2 linked regions of the Xenopus tropicalis genome follow. Each later gene encodes a partner of the first gene's protein in a complex. Links are inferred from orthologs where the notes say so. Each region holds a gene or a part of one and is shown in the gene's direction. Other genes may lie near its edges. The genes, in order: nhp2 and dkc1.

Region 1 (2,458 bases):
GCTTATATTCGGATTGGCTTATACTCGAGTATATACAGTAAATAATCTTTTAGTACACTTAAGGTATGGAGATCCAAATTACGGAAAGATCCCTTATCCAAGAACCCCCAGGTCCTGAGCATTCTGTATAATGGGTCCCATACCTGTACTATTGGAGAAAAATAGGGATTCTTCACAAATCTATCCTAATGGGCCTTTAAACTACTGGTGTCTTCTAACATCTTATATTTACCAGATCTAGTCACTGCAAAATGAGTGTGATTTCTTTACTTTAGTCCTTTGTCATACAACTAATACTTATAGACAGATCTTCTAAAAACAAAATTGCAAAAACAAATTCTCCTATACAAAGTCCTACTCAATTGTGCATAATACTCTTCTTGGTTAGAAACTTCTAGCAAACATTTACTGTGTAAGGGAATGGCACATAAACCATTGTAGGTGTTTTGCCACCTGAGTGATTTATTGAGAATCTCAGTCAAATATTCCTGGAACCAGTCATTGTGTATAACAAGAGGCAGCACTACATAGAATGCTAATGTTAAGCATTACACATATCTGCAGACATAGAAACACTGGTGACAATGTCCTTTGGCTTCCATTAATTTTAGTGGGAAGTGAAAGTGTCTGTTTTCCAGTGAAAAACTGCTCACAAACGTAACATTTTTGGATGGAAAGTGCTACCACGCTTCTGATCTGCTGCTATTATAGTCAATGGGTGCTTTGGTAGGCAGTTTAGGAAGGGTTGGGTTTGCTTTTGCCAGAAAAATGCTGGCATTTCACATTAGCATATGAAATTAAGTAAAGTACAGATTTTAAATAGACAAGGTTTTTAGTTAAAGACACAATACATTAGAATGTAACAAAAATGATTGTGAGATGCTCCAAGGTTTGATCCTGTATTTTGTAATGTTCTATTCTATAACAAGCTTAAATTGGCTTATTTTTATTTTTCCATATACATCTGATATTTAGTGTTTAGTCAGTGAGAAGCCATGCCCTGCCAGTTGTCACTTTAAAGACATCTCTCCAATGTAGCCTAAATATCCAGTTTTTCAAATTTCTTGTTATTTTAAGGCCTTCAACTATTTCTGAATTCTAACACATGATTAGTTAATTCTTGGCCATCTATCCTAGTATAGTATTGATATTTGTGTAAGGTGATACATTTGCGCTTGTTTCAGGACCTAGGAGCAGCTGCTGGCTCCAAGCGCCCGACCTGTGTGATACTGATCAAACCACATGAGGATTACCAGGAAGCATATGATGAATGTCTAGAGGATGTACAAGCCCTTCCGTTACCCTACTGATCTGGACAACTTTAGAGGATACTTTTCCATTAACCATTCTGGCATACTGTGAGGAAAATGGTACCAGACATTTCTTCGTACACACTTTGCATGCAGCTCTAAAGACAAACTGTGAGGACATTAAAGTGTTTGCTGTAATGTGTCAGCTAACCCTTCTGTCTAGGGCTGAGCCAGTTAGGAAATTACAGTTCATTTACTGATTAACAGAGCCTGTTAACACCATTTTTTTAAAGAAATGTTTTTTGGAGATGGATCCTAATTTTGGAAGGGGAGCTTCTTTGTAACAGATACTGACACTTGCTGGAGTACAGATCTAAATTTATGTCCCCCTGCCTGGTATCCCAAGATATCCATAGCACAGTGATATGGGTCAAAGAAGGTTAATTTTCAATTTGAATATAGACATATTACGAAATAAATGACCAATATTTTTTGTTATATATGGATTATTTTCCTGCCTATTCTCTCTTTAAGATAACTGCTCATTCTGGGAGCGGTCAAGGTGAACAATTAGTGTTTTAGGGTAAGAAAATAAAGCATGTTGGGTTTTTTTTGGTGGGTTTTTTTTATTATTCAGGACACATTTCCATTAGGGCCCTTTATTTGGCTGATGGGTCATGCTGTCACGTCATGTGGGTGGCTAAGAAAACATGCAGCAAATATCCCCTAGTAGCCATTTAGCGGGGTTAACAGGAATTGGCCCCTACAGCTGTTTGACTTCAATCAAAATCTTGTTAAAGTGCAATTAAATGATGTTTAGGCAGATTTAAAAAGCCCATGTTGTTCTGAAAAAAAGAATGATATAAAATTTTTCTAGGTAACTAAACTTTGCCCTGGTAATGTCATGAAATATCTAGCAAATAAAATGCTAAATTCTACACAAGGAAAATTATTTTGAGCACATCTGGACTGTGTTTCAAAAGAGGCCCTGGCATTTCAATAAATAATGATTTGTATATGGCATCTTACAGCAGCTGCCAGAACCCACAGATTGCCAATCGGGGACTGCTTTGGAGTCATAGGCTATCAAACAATGTTAAGACACACCTCTTGGTGCTGGAGCTAAGGCATGCATGTCTTTTGGATGAATAAAAGCCATAAATGGAAAAAAAATGGCATTTTACAATGCAATCTTCATTAGGCCTTTA
Region 2 (4,339 bases), on another chromosome or scaffold:
ATTAGGGTAGTGATTCCAAAATAAGGACAAATGTGGCTTAAAAATAGAAGCAGTACTTTAACCCTCAATTCACTGCATTACAGCTTTTTAACCCATCCACACTGCAGAGCTCCCAGTAGCCACAAACACCTTAGGTTGGATCATGAAAAATTGTTACAGTTGTTGTCACACTATGCAAACAATCTCATATTAAAGATGTTTATTCGAACCTTGAATACATTTACTGAAGAAAATGAGTTAAGTTTGAAACATTCCTTACAAGGACACAAAACGCATGGTGGAATACTGCCAGGGACAGATAATAGGACCAGTGTCGGACTGGGGGTTGCAGGGCCGGCCATGTCCCCTAACCGCCCGCAGGGTCCCCCACCCGACGTCCTCCCCGAGCGCGCATAAATTTAATGCGTCAGGGGAGGAACAGTCGGCCGGGGAGCGCCGGCAAGGGTCGGGTCTGGGCTGCAGGGGCTTACTAGGCCCACTGGGAATTTCCTGTTGCCCAGTCCAACCCTGAATAGGACCAAGTTTATGAACTTGTTGCATGAAGATTTATGTCAAAGTTTGTTGAGCCAACCAGAAATTATGCTGTACTGGATCTAGTGGTCTTGAATGACCCTAAACAGTTGGTTGAACCTCTGGGTAACAGTGACCATAATGGTATTTAAAGTTTGTTGCAAAAACCACAAATATACTCAAGGGCAGGATTTCAGAACCTAGATTGGGGCATTATGTTTGCTGCTAATTACACAGAAGAGAAATGGTTGTGGTACAATCTCAGTAAGCTACTAAAATTCCTCTGTGCATTAAGAGTGACCCAGTTGGCCAGGGTCTTTCAGTACTAGTACCTGACACCTTCACAGGTAATAAGGGGGTTGAGCTCTCTCTCTATATAGATTGAAGCAAATCCAATTACATTTTATCAGGATATATGTAGTACACAGGATCAGGTCTGTTGATTTCATATATTAAAACATAAAGCTTCTGCTACTGTTTCTAACAGATCGCTATATGAAATAGTATAGTAGTCAGGCTGGAATCAAACTGAGGAGCCCAGCGCTGCAAGTCGGGGTTGTTGGCTTCACATCCCTGATAGGTAAAGAGAATAAGACTGTGTGTCTGTACACGTGTTGCTTGTCCTGTCCCACTGTTCCCTCTCTAAGGGCTATCTATCAGCGCAAATACCCTCTGTAACATCCAAACACTGCCCGCAGCCACATATTTATTATAAGTGTATCTGCCCTATGATTCCCTGCTGCGGAATGTTTTATATTCGAAGAACAGCCAGCTAAACCAAATAAGCACACACGCTCTTCGCATTTTGAACATGGCGCATTAACAGGCGGCCTCCCCCACACAAGTGGCAGAGACGTAACAGAGAGAGATGCCATAGGCTGTCGGTCAGTGCCATGTGATGCGCCCCTAGCAGGAAGGGGCGGGCGCCCCAGGGGTAGCTCCTCCCATGTGCTATATCCGGTTAGTGCTCTCACTATTCGGCCTCACTCACCGCGTGTTACAGGAGAGAGAGAGGACATGGCGGACGGGGAGGGTGAGCAGTTTCTGCAGATGACTTCCATGCAGTTTGCAGTTTGAATGTGCCCAGCGCCGTAGCTGCACATTTCATTTCGTTGCCTTGTTTTTAATTTTGCTTTTTCTCACTTTTAGGTTCCAAAAAGAAGGCGAAAAAGCGTCGCAGTCAGATTCTCGGAGCAGAGGACGTGGCAGTGAGTCCCCCCTCTAATATAATAAATAGTAATACTGTGCAATGGTTATTCAGGGAGGTTCTGTATGCGCACTGAGCAGGTCTGTCTGGGTCGGTTCTGATTTCCTGTACTGGCCCATAGGCGGAAGGCTTGCAAAGCATGGCCAACACTGGCCGCCATTAAATACGGGATTGCAATATAGAAAGCGATAACTTTAGAAAACGCAGAAATAACACCATGTGAAAGAGGCAATTTAATGGCAACTTCTTTATTTTGATCCTGGCTGTTTTGCTACATTTATCTGAGGGGGGCCCTTCAATTAGAAATGCCACGTATTGAATCTGAACCTTAATTTGGGGATTGAAAGTTGAGGGAAAATAAAGTTTTACACGAGTTTCAAAGTCCTAAGAGTTGGAGGCCTCTGATGTGGGTTGGCAGTTAGGTCTTGGACAAATCCTATGGTCTGTGGACCCCTACTTTTATAAGGGAGTTGTCTGAAAAAACCTAGTGGTTTCAACCAATGAAATAAGCTGTCTTTGGTGCAAATGTGACCAAAAGTGTGGAGTGTTAAAGGGCAATGAAATGCACAGATGCCTCTTTTATAAATTACTCAATTACCCCTCCAACTATATTAAGTGCCCCTTCATCATTTGCCCAGTTTTCCCATTAGAATGCAGAGTAGTGTTGAAGGGTTAGGGACAGCCATGCCATATTCATTGTGCAAGTGTCCCTCAGGTTAAATGTGGAGGAGAATTTGCACTGGAAGCTGCTCTGGTCCTGTTTTCCAGTGAACAGAAATCGGTAATGCAGAGCCTGCACACCAGAAGTAATGTGGCTGGTCATAGTGGCTGCCAGCCCTGTTCTTCTAGATTTTCAACCCATTTATAGAACAAGGAGGCAGTCAGTGGGAGAACACTTAAAAAATCCTTCCTTTTTAACAGCATCAAGGGGGCAACACGTGTTTAAAAAAAAAAATGTAGGTGTGGCTTCCTTGCCCTCTAAGGGCAGTTGGTACACAGTCTCAAATATTTGCGGCAGCTGCAACAGGCATTGAGGAAGCTGCAACAGGCACTGGCCACTCTGTTACGGACATGGGTATTGCTTAATAATGCAGTTATTTAACAAAACAGTGTATGAAAGGTGCAGATTATTAAGATTCCATTTGGCCAGGTAATGCAAAATAAAAACCAAGGAAACTTTTCAGGGGTCTGACAATAGTGTATTGCTTCTCTGTGCTTGATGGAACTATCCTTTTGCTGAAGTGTTAGTACCATGTAACAAGGGATTAACAGCAGAAAGTGTACTAGGTTGGTTGGTCCACTTAATAGAGCATCTCCTATGATGTCATTGATGAATTAAGATAATACGGGAATCTCATATTAACTCCTTTCCTCCTCTTGCAGGATATTCAACATGAGGGAGACTTTCTAATCAAACCTGAATCTAAAGTGGCTCAGCTAGACACATCTCAATGGCCTTTACTTCTCAAGGTCTGTATGTGGCAAGGATGAAGCTATCAATATTTATTGGAAATTAATTGGAGACATGGCACTCTGTATCAATATGTTGTATGTTTTTGCATTTCTTTTTAGACTTGTGGCATATGATCTTTATAAATGTGTTAATGAATAACCCTGTTTCTTCAGTGATATCTTTTACAGTGCTAGAAATATTTACCCCAATCATACTACATCCCCCTACTGCTATGCACATAAAATTTACATTAGCTAGAGTTAAGCTTATACCATACTTTATCAATATGTTTGTTCTTTCCCTTAGAACTTTGATAAATTAAACATCCGAACAGCTCATTACACTCCTATTCCATCTGGTTCCAACCCACTGAAAAGAGAGATTTCTGAATATATTAAGTAAGTCAAGGGTGTTTTTTCAATCAACATACTGTTTGCTTACAGTGCTATTGGGGTTTAAGAGTGAATCATTTTTATTTACTGCTCATTGTCTAGCAAATTCCATGCCTTGGTAAGGCATGTAAAAAGCCAGTTAGTAGTCCTTTTTCTTTCGGCAATCTGGAGGTGGTGTCATAGAAGGACACCACTTCAAATATTCTCTAATACAAATCTCTATGGAATAATATATATGCTAATAGGTTATAAACATCAGCCTGAATAGTGTGTGGTTTTTGTTTGTTTTTTTATACTTTATAATTTCAGTACCTGCTTGGATAAGGTGTAGGTATTGCTTCCACAGTCATTTATTCTCTCTCAGAACAGGGTTTATTAACTTGGATAAACCTGCTAATCCTTCATCACATGAGGTTGTAGCATGGATAAGGCGTATTTTAAGATCGGAGAAAACTGGTCACAGTGGGACCCTGGATCCGAAAGTAACAGGCTGTTTGATTGTCTGCATTGATCGCGCAACACGACTTGTAAAGTCGCAACAGAGTGCAGGTGAGTCCCGTCCTGAAACAAGATATAAATTACACCTTATGTTAAGATGAAGAGACTTGCTTATTTCAAAGATGTACTGTACACGGCATGCACAGGGACTGATGGTCCAAAGAAAACCAAATTGGGCCATGCAAATTCTCTTGAGAAATGCTCTTGGCTAGTAGGAGTAGGATTTTAAATTGTATTGCTTAAATTTTTTAATTACCAGTTCTGGTATATTTCAACAAG

Evidence for each region.
Region 2: nhp2 (region 1) and dkc1 share a complex: the UniProt entries of both Homo sapiens proteins name them as parts of the H/ACA small nucleolar ribonucleoprotein (H/ACA snoRNP) complex. The link is inferred for Xenopus tropicalis from reciprocal best matches to the Homo sapiens genes NHP2 and DKC1.

Annotation. Positions count from the first base shown.
Region 1 is NC_030679.2:47,804,794-47,807,251, reverse strand, and holds the end of nhp2 (H/ACA ribonucleoprotein complex subunit 2-like protein), read left to right. Parts: intron 1-1,184; coding exon 1,185-1,310; 3' UTR 1,311-1,748; downstream 1,749-2,458. UniProt on the Homo sapiens protein: Required for ribosome biogenesis and telomere maintenance. Part of the H/ACA small nucleolar ribonucleoprotein (H/ACA snoRNP) complex, which catalyzes pseudouridylation of rRNA.
Region 2 is NC_030684.2:38,918,668-38,923,006, forward strand, and holds the start of dkc1 (H/ACA ribonucleoprotein complex subunit DKC1), read left to right. Parts: upstream 1-1,432; 5' UTR 1,433-1,527; coding exon 1,528-1,543; intron 1,544-1,659; coding exon 1,660-1,718; intron 1,719-3,100; coding exon 3,101-3,187; intron 3,188-3,476; coding exon 3,477-3,568; intron 3,569-3,926; coding exon 3,927-4,111; intron 4,112-4,339.